2 linked regions of the Diceros bicornis minor genome follow. The protein of the gene in region 2 interacts with the protein of the main gene of each other region in a pairwise test. Links are inferred from orthologs where the notes say so. Each region holds a gene or a part of one and is shown on either strand. Other genes may lie near its edges.

Region 1 (7,726 bases), on a different chromosome or scaffold from region 2:
AGTCAACAACAAACCACATACAATGGTGGTCCGACAAGATTAGTACCATACAGCCTAGGCGTGTACAGTCTACACCATCTAGGTTTGCGTAAGTACACTCTATGATGTTCGCACGACAAAATCACCTAATGAAGCATTTCTCAGAACATATCCCCATCATTAAGTGACACATGATTGTGTTAGCAATTATCAATAGCACCTTTTTCTTCATTTAGATTTCAATTAAAAAAAAAGCAAAAACTCCCAAAAGAGTCTACAACCATAAGAGACAACACTCAGGAAAATTATAAGCAGTTACTTTTTTCAGAGCAACAAAAACTTGAAATTGAGAGCTGGCTGGCATTTTGTAGTTGCTGTAATAACCACGTATACCTTTCCTCTTTGACACTGAGCTTCCATATTCTCTTCAGCTCTCTTTCTGCTCTCACTCATCCAAAAATTCATATAGCTTCTTGCCTACTGGCCTACTTTTTGGAACATCTACGGATATGTACACATATACATGCCTATTTGTCTTCCTAGGTACCAAAAGAACAGAAGAGCTAAAGGAAACAGCTCATGGTCAAATCTCCAAGGCCAGATATTTATCTGGTATTGGTTAGATCAGCGAGTCTGTGCCAAGCAGACAGCCGATGCTCAATAAATGTCAATTTCTCTCTACCTCCTTACCCACTCCACTCTCCTCCACACGATTAGGGAAGAGTTCCATTTTCTCTGGTACTCCACTCTCTTTGATTCAGACACCCCAGCAATATGTATTCACTGAAAAAAAAAAAAAAATCCAAGTATCTTGCATATCTAACAGCAAGGGCTATTTGTTTAGAAGTCATCGGAGCCAAAGAAAAATGGGACTCTTGCATATCATCCTGAGAAAAATTACACTGGAAACCTCAGAAGAGTTCACCAAGATCTCTTTCAACACTGTAGTTTTGGTTTGTTATATTGTCTCCAAATTTAGCTTTCAAGAAAAGGTCTCCAATGATGTTTCTAACTTACATCAATTCCATGAGTGGATAAGAATTTAGTAACTGAATGCAAAGAGGTATTGTGGGAGTGGGTGATGTGGCACAAAGGATGATGTCAACTCTCTGGTTTAAAAATTTCCAGAGTCTCAAGCCATCTTCAGCCAAGGAAAGAACCTTGAAGAATTAACACAAGAATTGAGAACCTTTCCACTTCTTCCACCAAGACCCGTTTAGATCTCATTTAAGGCTCTAATTCTTGTTTTCCTATCTTTATGTGTCTAGGTCCCATATTCCCAAAAGGTATCTAGTAACTTATACCCCTACTTTTTTCCACACAAAATCCTGGGAAAGGTTCTACTCCTCGGGCACAGGGAAATCTTGCTGAGATCTCAGATAAGAGCATCTACTGTTTCCAATGGGAAATACCATGAATAGAAAAGGAAGGAAAGACCCAGATGTGGTCAGAAGAAAGCAAACTAGCTGACACGACTAAAACCACACACGAGGGATGTGTATCCCCAGCCTTATTCCCACCCCTACCTTCATCCCACCCCCACCACCACAAAGAACACCTTATACATTCCTTATTTCGCTTAATCCTAACAAGCAGGATACCCACTATCACCTTTTTACAGCTGTGGACTCTGCCGCACAGAGAGTTGAAAGGCCGTGCTCAAGATCACACCACTAATAATTTCAGAACCAGCATCAAACCCAGGTCTTCACAGTCTGCCCTCCTCCTCTTCCCAATAGTCAACACTACCTTTCACTGCCACCCCATTTTTCTGAGAACTTCAATATTCTAATTGTATTGCTTCAGGTTTAAGGAACATTGACTTTAACTGTTTCGAGCTTTGACATCCAAGAATCTTGTTGCTCTGCCTAGAACATGGGTCATTTACACATCTAAAAGATACACTAGCCCCTCTGATAATCAGTGCCCGCTATCCATCCCTAAAACTTAACAAAAAGAAGGAAGATTAGGAAACTAGGACAAAGCAGAAGGTTCACTGTTCTTCGAGGGTTGCAATAGAGTCACAGATAACTCTAATGAAGAAACAGCCAAGTCTCCACCATTGGCAGTCCTCAATCAGTCCACCAGACACAACTTCTCCCCAGAAGAGTCACCTGATAACAACATCCAAGTTCCAACGTTTCCAGTATTCACCCGAAAATTAGCACAGAAAGCACACTGCTCAAACAAACAGCCTGGGCGCAGCTCCGTCCGCCACTAGCAGTTCTGAACCAACCACGGATAACCTTATAGTACACCTACAAGAGGGCAAGAAGAGAGGTGCTGCAGCCTCGTCCAGACAAACAGTTCAAGTCCATGGTGCTCTCTATCAGACGCCACCTTCGGTGCCAGCCCCTATCAGTAAGGAACCGGGGGGCCGGGGAGTCAAAAAAACAACTTTACGCTCAGTTGCAAGGGAGCACAAAAACAAACAATTAGACCAAACAACTTTTGGAACACGGCCCCACTTCAGTCCAAGTGCAAGTTCTTAAGGTACTAATAAGTTTTGCAACACTTATGGCCCTGACCCTGCCCACAGCCGCAACTCAGGCACTAAGGAAGTGGACCATCCTCGGGCTGGAGGCCCAAAAGGGCAGGAAGTGGAAGCAGAGGCCATTTGTGGGAAAAGGAAAGGAGCGGCAAAAAGGGAGAGGCTGGGGCGCCGCCCCCACTTCCTCAGCCCCAAGCCAGTCTGGGAGGCCTGGAGGCTTTCTCCAGAGGACCGCCCGGAGCCGAGCGGGGCCACTGCCCCGGCGTCGCCTTCCCCCAGGCTCCGGGCGCGACGTGTCCGGCCGCCGGCCACAGCACAGGGCGGCGCACCTACTTCCCCAGCCCGCGCCCCACCCCGCCCGGAGGGGGCCCTGCCAGAGCGCGGACACGCTCACCTGGGACTTGTCCCGCGTCGCCTTGGCCGTCCGCACCAGGCCCGCGGCTCTTAAACCCGCCCCGCCCTCTCCTTCTCCTCCTCGCGGGGCCGGACCCCAGCCGTCCCCTGCCGATTTGTCATTGAGCAGCCCCGGCTCCCTTCCCACCCCACGAGCGCGCCCCCGGCGTCGCCTAGGCAACCCTGCCTCCCGGGAGCGCGCCCTCTCTTCCGTTCCCGCCCTCTCCCTGGAGGCCACGCCCATCGAGAGCCTATTGGCCAATCCGAAGCGGAGCTTCCAAGCCTCGGGAGGCCGTGGAGAAGGCTTCGCCAAGGAGAAGCCGTCTCACGCGGGAGGGGCGGGCTCGGCGCGCCTGCCCCACCCACCTCCACTTCCTTCTTCTTTTCCGCGGCCGGACAGGCTGCACGTGACCGCTGCTGCAGTGAAGGAGTTGGAGCGGGTCTGGGGACTCCCGGCTTGGGCGGGCGGAGGGCGTTCCCCTCCTGGATTTGGGTCAGGGCGAGGCCAAAGTAGTGGAAAGCAAAAGAGAGGAGCAGACCTGATCTAGAGAAACATAGGAAAATTACGATATAGTGCGCGGGTGTCGAAGGGTCCAGGCGGCTGTCGGGACGCCGGCCAGGGGCTCCTGAGGCGGGAGCTCCTCGTGCCGCCACGACTCGCTTGGCTAATGACATCCCATTAGCAGTAATGCAGTTACTTGACCAATGCCTAGCAATAACTTGACCCAGGTCACATACAAGGGCCAGAGTCCTAACCCCAGCGGTAGCCTTGAGGCAGGAAATGCAGTAGACAAGCTCATGGCCGACAGACAGGTTTTTCTCCCACAACCTGCCCCCGTCGTTGTCCTGCAAAGTCCGGGAACTTGTAATTTTCTATCCAAATAGAGCTTAACCTTGGGTTGATTTTCCTAACTAACCGCACCTTCCTAGAGCTGAATCTTCCCCCAACCCCTCACTCTGCCTCCGCAGGATTTGTGGCCCCGTTGACCCCTACACGCAACACTGTATCGCAATTAATTGTTTAAATGTCAGCCTCTATAATCTCTAGGGAAGGAAACTCTCTTGTTCAATTTGATATCCACAGTAGCAGCACCGTGTAATTAATTCCTTCGTTGTTGATAATTAAACATTAGGATACATGTGTATTATATGCGAGGCTTTGTGCCTTGATTAGATTGCTATGTATAATCAACTAACAGGTCCAGGCCCTCCACCACCAAGTGTATCAAAAAGCACAGAAGATTTACTTTAGTCTTAAGTAATAGGCTTAACAAAAAACTGTAACCAGAAGAATATCCTAGTAAATAGAAGAATGTCTTTTTCCTATGGAGTAATAATTAAGTGCACAGGTTTGCAATCAGCATAAGTTCAAAGGAGGGCTCTGCCATATAAGCAGCAGTTAATTAGGAAGTTACTTAGCCTCTGTGGGCCTCAGTTTCCCCAGCTGCCCAATAGGAGCAGTACCTTCACACTATAGGTGTGAAGATTTAAATGAGATTACCTATAAAGCTCTCAGTACAGTACTAGGAACTTGGTGAGTGCTCAACAAACGTTAGCTTAAATTGTGATTGCCACCAGAGGCCAAGATGTACACTTAAGCATGTTATAACCAACCTAGGGTCAGCATTCCCTCTCAAGGCCTGTTGTATCTGGGACTGTGGGACACCACCATAGAGCAACCAGTGGTGTGTGCAGCCTGGTGAAAAGGACCTGCTCTGGTGATGCTGTTTTATCAAATGCAAGTTTAGACAGGAGACCTGGCTGCAGCAGCCTGCCCAAGGGAAATCAGTAGTTAAGGGAACAGGATCAGGGTCATGGACAGACCAGGATTTTCCTGTTCCCACACCCCCAGGACCCACAGCAGGCACAGGGGGTTTTCTCACTTTCCTGGGCTGTGTAACTGCCATTCCTTTGTATTAGTAATGTGATGTTATGCAGGATGCACTGGGCTTTTTGAGAAATGCTACACTCATCCTCTGCCTCCCACCCCTCAACTCCAAACCTCAGGCCCTGTACTCAGGGATTCTACTGGGACTCCACCAGTAGGATCATCTATTCAGCTCCTGGACATGCCAGGCCCTAGCTGAGTGTGGTAGATTCAGAGTGGAATAAAGGACCCTGCCAGACAGTGAGGGACTGTCTCACCGAGGACACGAGCCCAGGAACATGTCCCACCAGGGGAAGAGCACTGAGAGGCCACCGGCCACGACTGCCACTGGGATTGCTCATGTCAGGTCTCAGAGGATACTCTCATCTGCTGAGCTTCTCCTGTGGGAATTCTGACTCCCGGCAGAGCCAGGGGCCTAAGCAGCAGGAATACAAGATCCCCAGCAGGACCCTGTAAGGTCCCTCTAACCCACTGTAGCTGTGGAAAGAACATTCTAGACACTCCCATTTTCAAAAGTATTTACTGAGTATTGTGTGAGTCTTTACTGCTGTTGGGCAGATATTTCCACTTCTCTCTCCTGGGCACTGGATAGGATTGAACTTCCTAGCTTGCTGTCATTGTGTGAGGCTGTGTGACTAGCTCTAACCAGTGACTTGTGAGCGGAAGTGACACATAAATCATTTTGGGGCTGGAGAATTTATTTGCTAACACGAGACCCTCCAGAGCTCTGGTCTCTATGGGACAGTCACTGGGAATGTTTGGGAGTGTGGCTGCTCCACCAGCCTGAGACCCTACAATGAGCACAGCCCCTCTGCCAACCTGCGATGACATTTAGCATGACTAAGAAACAAACCTTTGTGGTTTGAAGGCACTAAGATTTGGGAGTTGTTCATCACTGCCGCCTAGCTGAGCCTGCTCTGACTGCTACAAGGCCCTAAAGTGTGCCAAGCTGGGGGCACAGTGTTGAACAACTCTGACAAGAGAATAGACAATAACCCAGGGAACAAACAAGCAACTCAATAATTACAAATTGTGTCATTACTTGAGACTGAGTGGTCAAAAAAGGTCTCTCTTAGGAGGTGACATTTAAACTGGGAACTGAAGGATGAAAAGGAATCAATCTTGGAAAAAATTGGGAGTGAAGAGAAGGAGAGGACAGAGGACAAGCATGCACAAACTCCTAAGGCAGAAAAAAGCTTGGTACACTTGAGAACAGACAGGAGACTGGATGAGTGCGTGAGCCCAGGGGAGAGTGAGGCCGCAGGACAGGGGAGAGGGAGGTAGAAGCCAGATTATGGGTTATGATAAAGAGATTAGAATTTATTCCAAGGGTGACAGGAAGCTACCGAGGAGGTTCGAGCCAGGAGGGTGACATGCTTTGACTGAGGTTTTAAAAAGACCACTCTGGCTGCTGCAAGGGGCAGATGTGGGAATGGAGATTAGGAGGCTGTTCTGGGAGTCCAAGCAAACTGGAGTCCACAGGGCCGAGGCTAGAAAGGGTAGTCTGCCCTCGGTAACAGGAGATCTGGGGAGACTGCAGGAGGAGGGGAGCAAGAGAGTTGATGACTAAACCAGGAGTCCTCCTGCCAAATCCCAGAGGACGCAGAGGCAAGGCTGGAAGTCAGGACCCCTAGAGGTGCTTTGACCCCAGGGATATGGGTGCTCAAAATCCAGGCAGGAATGGAGGAGGGTGTGGAGAAGGCAGCTGACCAGTTTCCTAGAACATCAGTCAGCATCAGAGACGTGCTCCACTGAGCTGCAGGATTATATAAATAGATGGTATTATTAGAAAGAGTCTGACAAGCTCCGACATCCCTGTGGGCATTTGGTATTTGGTGATTAGAAAAGAAAGGAGCCACAAATCTACAGATGGAAAAATGAAAAAAAAAAAAAAAAAAGCCATTCTTGCCCACTGAAGAAAATGGGAAGAATCTACTGTAAACAGCAAAACTAGATGGAGCTCATCTTCAGCTCTTCAGTCATCTTTCTATTCTGTGTTTCTCCACCCCTCAGGGCCCAAATGTTCTCTGTCCACTTCTTGCTCTCTCGTTCTATTCTCGGGAACGGGTCTCATAGGCTCATTCACACGCAGGAATAAATGACTGATGACAGCTCAGTGGGTACCCACTCCTTCCTGGGCATTTGTATCATCCAGTGGATGAAAATCTAATGTCCTAGATCAAGAGAAGTATGGGGGGCAGAGACCACAGATCTTTAATTCACACTACTAGAATGGAGTGATGTATCCCTCCTCAGGAAAAGTTTCCAACTCTCGAGTTCTCACCCAAGGCAACAGGTAAGGTAATACATTACTGGAACCCTCCTCCAAAGCCTGGGCAGTAGCCCCAAGCCGCCTTTTCCTTGCAGCCTTCTGCTGGCAGCTACCAAGAAAAGCCCCTGGTATTTACTTACTCCCAAACGTATCCAAAATCTTGACTTTGGTGCTCAATTTAGTTATTGCCACTGTAAAAGACTTACTGGGGGTTTTGAAAACCACTTTTGCTAAGTGTTTTAATGAGAGCTTCTCTTTCCCTATTACCATCTTTCTTTGTGGGCTCTACAGGCCCAGCCAGCCAGCAGGAACTAAACAGATGTTCCCGGAATCGCTCTGCTGGAAAGGCAGAGGCCCAAGTAATTACATAGAAGATAAACCTTTCATCTTCCAAAAGAATTAATCTACCTGGGAAACATGTTAGAAAAAAATAGTTCATGTCTATTTTCCGTTATTGAATTAGCTGGACTTATCTTTTTGCCATCATAGCTTACAAAGAGTTATCTCCCAGAAATAAAGTCAAGTCTGTCTTGTCATTGAGTAATAAGTCTTCATCATTATCTCCCGTCCCTACTACATGCCGGCTCAGGTTCTCCCCTTCCCTCTTTGTGGAGACACGTGCTCCGTACTTCCAAAAATTTGCACAGTCAACAGCCGCCACAGACCTGATACTGACCTCCAGATAACCAGATACAAGCCCCTG
Region 2 (7,610 bases):
GGAAAAGGACTTTAAAAATTCATCAAAGCTTACAGATGAAACTAGGTGCCAACCTTGCCAAAAGCAGCACAGCTAGCAGGAAGCAAGGAGAGCAGTCCTTCGGCGCTGCCCAAGGAGCACCGAAGGCTAACTGTGCCAGGCGCCACGTGAAGGCCTGCCTGGATCCACCTGGTGCAACTACATTCTAATTAACTAAAATCCAGGCTTCCCAAATTTCAGTGTCCACTGTTCTTTCCATTATTGGCACCAAGATTTATTTTAAGTGGGAAATAGTAAGTACAAGGAATTACTAAAGCCAAAACCAAAAATAAAGCCAACTGTATGATCCACCCCAGTCTTAAATGCTACCAACAACATTAAGTTAAAGAATACTCATGAAGCTTTTGAGCAAGCCTAATACAATTTTCCAGAAAAAAAAAAAAAAAGCCTAGTAAATCAGTCCAAACTCCTGTGCCTGACCTTCAAGGCATTTCATAATCCAAAATGTGGCCTTTGTTCCTGGTATGCCGCCAGATGTTAACATGCCCTCCCTCCAAAGGACCACATCCTCTCCATCAAGGTCTGACCTCCATGAAGCCTTCCCAACAACTCGAACCCCAACAGATCCTTCCCTTCTCTGAACTCCTGCTGTACTTACACTCAATACTACAGTTTAGTTCTCAGCAATTCTTTAATCTTTAATCTAGAGGGCAAAAACACCCCTTCTGAATCCAGGCTAATACTATTTTATTTCTAATGTGTGTGTCAGGCATATGCTAAAATTGGCAGACACAAAAATGACTGAGACTAAGCCCTGTCTGGCAAGAGCTTAGTCTTTTGACAGATATGTAAATACCAGCAATAGCTATAGCCCTGAAGACAACACAGGGTTATCCCTGTGCTAAGTGGTTACAGGATTCACTGAGTTGGAAAATTTCAAAGCCAGAAGAACTGTTTGAGATAATCTAGTTTTATGTATTCTCTGACTACAGGAAAAAGGAAACTGAACCCCAAAGAAGCTAAGTAACAGCCCACACTACGAAGCAGGTGGGTGGCAGCACATGGACCACTAAATGTTTGCTTTGACTCCTAAACCAAAATACCTTTTGAATCCATAATTTCAAACTGAAGTCCAAGGATGCCTATGGGTGTGTCCACAGCTTCAAGAGTCATAATTTCTCTACAATTACTTTGTGTTTGTATCAATAATAATTCTTTTAAATTAACATAAACACACTGAATCATGTGATTATAATGGAACACTACTACCATGCTATTTTACCAGGCACTCCAGGGGAGCCATGAACATATTCCCCAGGGTCTGAGAACAATCAACATTGTAGACTACTGCTTTGCAGAGTGATCAATGTTATTTCTCCTCCAGTCAATTTCAAAATTCTCTCTACTCATTACTGACCTAAAACTCATCCATTCAATAAGCTCCTACTATGTGTCGGGTGCTATACTAGGTTCCTGGCTGACAAAGATGACTAAACTGGAGAAGGAGTGAAAAAGAAATTGAGAGATGAACTGCATACCCACATTTCCCATATGGCCTGATCCTGCCCGTGCCTGACACCAAAAATTGTCAAAGTCCTTTATTAGAAGACTGTCTTGCCAAAAATTTTTGGGTACCAATTTCATTTCTCATAGATTCATACACAGCAGGCTCTCAAATATTTGTGGAATGAATGAAAATTTAACTCAGCAGGTTAATAACCATCTTTTAGAAAGGTAATATAGTTCAAAATGATAGTCAGTACAGGATATTAAACACTTGACAAGAAAAAATATATACTTTCTGAAACTTCCAAGAGTTGTTCCAACTTACTCTGGGGGATCCTCTGCTTCTCTGCTTAAAATTATTAAGTTTCTACTTAATCCAACAGAAGAGAACATTTGAGTACTAAGCACACATTATCCTCTTTCTATTACCACCCTTTGAGTCAACAACTTTCAACACACAGATGATCCCTGGGAAGCTTTTGGCTTTCAGTTCCTTTGACATTAGAGTCAGTTACACAAAGTCTGGCCAGAATATATGTACTAACATTTATAAACAAAATATTATTATGCATTAGGAGACGGATGCACATAACCTCAGTTAGAACTAGCTTTTCAATACAGTGTCCCCAAACGATTTAATTAAGGTGTGGCTGATTCTTAAAATATTTTTCAACGGTTTCCTTGTAAGTTTATTCAGATTCATAAAAAAAGAAACAAATTTTCTCATAGTTATTAGTATGATTGACCTTTAGCGATTAGAAGTAGATTATTCCCATTTAAAGACAAGCTCTTTCAAAAACTGTTTCTTGGAATTAACAAAGTGTCTATTTGCAAAATCTTGGGGTATCAAGTTCAGCACCAGCGGGCGTAGAGGAGAGAGAACACAGTGGCTGGGTGTGCAGGCTCTGGAGCCTCGCTGCATGGTCCCAGGGGCAGCTCAAACACCGAGGAGTATACAACCTCAGGCTAGCACTTGACCACTCTGAGCTCCCGTGTCCCCAACAGTAAAACGGGACACTACGTCAGCATCCACTCTCTCGGGCATTACGTCAATCAGGGGACGCAGACGCTGAGAACGGTGACAGGCACCAGCTCCTGTCAGGAACCTGACAGGTACAGCTCCCAACCGAGGCGAAACCGCCTCACGCCGCTGTTCACGACCCCACCCTCAGCCTTACACGGGACCGCCGCACAGGGCGCGAGGGGCCGGGGAGGCCAGCACGCCCACCCCCGAGGGTCAGCGTCGGGGCAACGCCCGGCCAGGACGCGGAGACCCGGGGGTGCCGCCGGCGCGGGTGGCGACCGCCCCTTCCCCACAGGCGGCCCGGTAGCGGCAGAGGCCGGGGCCGGGGCCGGGGCCTCCTCCGACCGCCCGCGCGGCAGGCCGCCCGCCGCCCTGCCGGCCCGCGCTCCCGGACTGGCCCTGCGCCGGTACGCGGGGCTCCGACACGTACCTGCCGCCCGCTGGCCGCGCTCCGGCCGCGCCGCCAGGCCTCCCTCTCGCCAGCGCTCCCGGCCGGCCGCCCCACCGCCGCGCCGCACTTCCGCCCCGCGAGCGCCGAGGGCGTCGATCCGCCGCGCAGTCGAGCGCCGAGTCCTCGATGGCCGAGCCTCCGCGGAGGGGCGGGGCGGGCTCCGCACTGGGGTGGGGGCGTGCCGTGTGCACCCTCCGGCCCCGCGACGTCGGGTCCCGCCAGAGACGCCGGAGGATGGCACTCGTTGCTTTTGTGGTGGGCCCTGCCCTGAGCCAGGACGCTGCAGCGGGTCAGGACACTGGCTCCAACGAGGCCCTGGGAGGCTAGGTGACACACAAAGCCACAGGACCATGGACGTTGCGGAGGAGAATGCCAGTCTACAGCCTGGAAACCCTGAGTGTGATCGTTTCAGTTCGGCAAACTTAGTGAGCACCTCCACCGGCTGGGCGCCGTGCAGGGCGCTAGAGACGCACAGGCGAATAAAGGCAGTCACTTCCTGTCAGGATCTCCCTGGGCTGAGGATAAACCGTGGCATGGCAAGAGGAAAAGAGATGGCACTGAGGGAGCGACTGCAGCAGTCTTGTCAAGAAATGATGGTGGTCTGCACTAAGGGGACAAAGGTGGGGACAGGGGAAAGTGATGAGAAAATACTCTTCTGGTTACTTCTCTTTTATTAGCGAAAGCAGCAGCAAGATCATCCATGAAAACAGAGGATGCAGGGCAAGGGAGGTGTGAGGAGGAAGGAGAAAGGGTGAAATCTTTATCCTGAATATTGTGAAGAAAATTACTAAGAAAATGTGGTAGGATTTCCAGGCAAAGCTGAAAGTCCCCTTGGGATGTGTAGTCCTAAGTTTAAAATGGGACCAGTCAGCATGTGTATGTTTTGGCTGCTCTAGTGCAGATAGAGAGTTAGCAGAAAATTAGTTGTAACCTAGGTTGGAGATAGGCAGGAGCAGGGAGCAAAGGACTTGAGGGTCTATGCAAAGAAATGACATTATGGAGAACCATGGAGTTTAAGCTGAGTGACAGGATATTTAGAGGGATTTTTCTGGCTGTCCTGGAATTGGCCACTTAGACTGGAAAAGGGGGCAGATAACTAGGGTGACCACATGTCCCACTCTGCGTGAGATAACCCTGGTTTTTGTCTGTTATCCTGGCTTAATTATTGAGTGTCCCTTTCATGGTCAAGTGTCCTTGTTTCAACAGTATATAGTAACCCTAAAGTCACTCCACATTTTAAAGAGAGCCCCAAACAACCGGGGTCGGACACCTCTTCGAAGCTTAGAAGAGACTCACCCAGTTGGCTCTAAGCCAGGTTAGTGCTTGCTGACCTGAGACACGCAGGAGCCTGTGCTTGCTGCCATCAGAGTGGAGGTGAGCATGGGGGGTCCCGTTCTTGGGAGAATTGGCCTACCACTGGGACTGTATGTGATCAAGAGTGTGCTACCTGCTTCCCTTCTAGAAATTCCCAAAGGTAGGAGACCTGTTGGAGTAACCTGCTACAGCTGAATGGAGAGGAGGGTAGCTGTGGAGCAGAGGCACAACCATGGTGGGGGGTCTTGCCATCTCTTAGCCCAGGAATTCACACTTACACCTTACACAAACTTTGTGTTTGGCCAATCTGTGTGTCTCACATGAATGCCTACCAGACAGCATCCACAGCAGAGGGGCACCAGAATGATTTGACCAGCCTCTGTCCTGGGCCAGCCCAGGGTTTGTACAATGGGCCTATGAATGGAGTAGCCATGGTGGCAGGGATGGAGCTGCACGGACCCCTCTTAACAAGGTAGATCTAGACAGTGTGTTCCCCCTCCAGCTGCAGAGGCCAATGTGCAGCTAGAGGTATGATACCTTCCCTCGAGGAGACCAGGCAGCTCCTTGGTGGCAAGGTGATTTCCTCAGACCCAGTTACATATCTTGGGTTTGGGTTTGTCTTCCCTGCCTGCAGGGCCCTGGCAAGCATCACTATCCAATTGCTCACACAGGGTCGGATTTATCATCATGGAATTTCCCATAGTATCACCTGGGACCAGGGACCCCTTTAAGAGTGAAAGAGGTATGACAAAGGGGACAATACCACAAGAGCCAATGGTTCTACATACATCACACACCCAGAAGCTGACACCCTGATAGAATATTAGAATGGCCTCTTAAAGGCACAGCTAAGGCTCCAGCTTAGGGGTAACATTTTGCAGCATTGAGCTGCTGTGCTATGGGATGTAGTATATATTTTGAACCTAATACCAGCGTACAGTGCTGCGTCCAAATAGAGTCCTGGCTCCTATGGCAGGAGAGGATGCTTTGCCAGGGGACACAAGATTCCACTATATCTAAAGCCCTCTCCTCGTTTGGGATCCTCATACAGGAAACAAAAAAATTGACCTTTACGATCAGGAGGATATAGGAGCAGGGAGGATTATTTCTGGACCTCAAGGCACTCACTGGGCATCTTTTCTATGCCTGGTGATATCAGCAAATGCGCAATGCAGCAACCCTGGCCTGACAAGGGCATGGCAACCAGAGGCTCAGATCCTACAGGGACGAAGGTCTGGGTCACTTCAAGCAAGCAACCTGGGCCAGCGGAAGTGCTAGTTAAGGGTGAGGGGAATCTAGAATAGGTGATAAAGGAAGAAGATTATGAGAATCACAATGGCCTCAGGACCAACGGCAGCAGGAGCCCATAGCTCGACCTATCAGTGCTCCAGATGTGAGTGTGATGGGACATCAGTGTGAGGAGTCAGTGACAGGACAGCGTGAACACAACACAGCATGCGAGGGATGGACAGTGGCAGAGGCCATCAGAGCCTACCCATATTCCTCTGCTGTGCCCTCTGCTCTCAGAAGGCTTCTTTCTGGGAACACCTGCCCCTCGGTGCCTCAGGGCTTTCTTTCTCAATGCAGGGGAAGCTGGAAGTACTGGCAAGTTCATCGGCCCAAAAGTAGGCTTCAACCAAAGATAGTTGTATAACTATTGGGCTGCCGTTCCCAGGGTAGTTCGGAGGCATGTTATCCAGGGTATTTTCAGAGCTCCCTCGGGAATGCCTTCACAGCACATCTTTTATTGGCTTCCTTCCCTTTCCCACCTGGCATACCCACTCCCTTCCTGGTGTTTCCTGGTATCACCTCCCAAGTTAGATACTAGCCCTTGAAACCATATCTCAGGGTCAGCTTCTGGGGGAATCCAGCCTAAATAGTCATTATTATAGACCAAAAACAGCCTATACTTATTACAACTCAAATATCTTTATGTGCTGAATTGCACACCTGTTAGAGAAATACATCCTGAGAAAAAGAAGATGATATTTTGTACAGATGCTTTGAGTTGTGGGACTTAGCATGACTTCATTTTTCTCTCCTTTACATCAGAAGACATGTCAAAGTCGCTCCAGCATGCAATAACTCAACTGTCCTAGGGTCATCCATTCTAAAACACACAGGAAACGTGAGTCAGAGACCTGGCAGCAGAGGTTGAAAGGAAATTGTTTTCTGTATCCTGGCAGTGGTACCCCACTTCACTGTGAAACCAAACCCTTTTCTTGTCTCGCTTTTGGGTCTGCGTGACACACCATTTCTCAAGTTAGGTGATCCTGCCATTAAGCTGGTATGAATGGCTCTTGAGAACACACAGATCTTTCCTGGATCAAAATAATGACAAATAATATTGTATCCCTGAAACAAAAATACTCAAAAGAGGAAAGAAAACCTTTCACTAATATAAAAATTACTGATGGTGTTTTCTTTCTTTTTTCTTAAATTTCTGGTCCGTATTCTGAAGCCAGTTAGCAAATGTTAGTGCAGTATATACAGAAGCTGGCAGCAAATAAAATCATTAAGCCTAAAATTACAGTAGTAGCTGGTGAGTCAATTAAATATTGTTATACAGCTTTGTGTTTTCAATTCTGCATCAAATTTATTTTGACTTAGAAAAAATAACTATGAAGCATGAAATTCCTTTGGTTTCAGTCTTAGGAAACACTATGACAGACACAGTTCCCTGTTCTTTGTATATATATTTTTTACATTAAATGAGCACCTAGAGTGTTTCATACTGCATGGTATATCAGTTTGTAATGGATCATATTAGTATAGAATCTAATCCTCAAAACAACTGTAATTTGCCATATCTTAGTGATCCTTTTTACCAAAGACTGACAATTGTTGGTCTTCTGTTAACTCATCAATTCTAAGCCCCTTGCTGGCAGATTGCTGTCTTATTTGTTGTCATATGTACCGCAGAGCCTTACAGAGCAGGTAGTCAATACACGAGGCTGGCCCCCCAGTAAGAGCACTAACCACAACCTGTAAATAGATATTGTCTGTTGGCTTACTCTTTGTTGTCTCCTCCCACTAGGATATAAGCTTCCTGAGGGAAGGGACTTTGTATTGTTCACCCATGCTTCACACACAGTAGATGCTCACTAAATAAGTGTTGCATGAAAAGCTAAAGATAATAATAATAATAACAATACATTATGATAGTGGCAGAGTTGGGGGAGATGCCTGTTTCCAGTTATCTATTTCAAAATATGCTTAATGCTCACTTAAAGGTACAAAAAGATGAGCAAAATTTGAAATATAAATCTTGACAATGTTTGAATGATTGAAATGTTTCACTGATTACCATCCAACTTTGTCATTCCTCGCTGGAGT

Evidence for each region. The genes of interacting proteins can lie anywhere in the genome.
Region 1: the proteins of EXOC2 (region 2) and RALB interact in a two-hybrid assay, tested with the Homo sapiens proteins (2 studies listed by BioGRID). The link is inferred for Diceros bicornis minor from reciprocal best matches to the Homo sapiens genes EXOC2 and RALB.

What each region holds. Positions count from the first base shown.
Region 1 is NC_080749.1:12,473,141-12,480,866, forward strand, and holds the start of RALB (ras-related protein Ral-B), read right to left. Parts: upstream 3,004-7,726; 5' UTR 2,865-3,003; intron 763-2,864; exon of another isoform or gene 670-762; intron 1-669. UniProt on the Homo sapiens protein: Multifunctional GTPase involved in a variety of cellular processes including gene expression, cell migration, cell proliferation, oncogenic transformation and membrane trafficking.
Region 2 is NC_080753.1:65,647,080-65,654,689, reverse strand, and holds the start of EXOC2 (exocyst complex component 2), read right to left. Parts: upstream 3,018-7,610; 5' UTR 2,940-3,017; intron 1-2,939. UniProt on the Homo sapiens protein: Component of the exocyst complex involved in the docking of exocytic vesicles with fusion sites on the plasma membrane.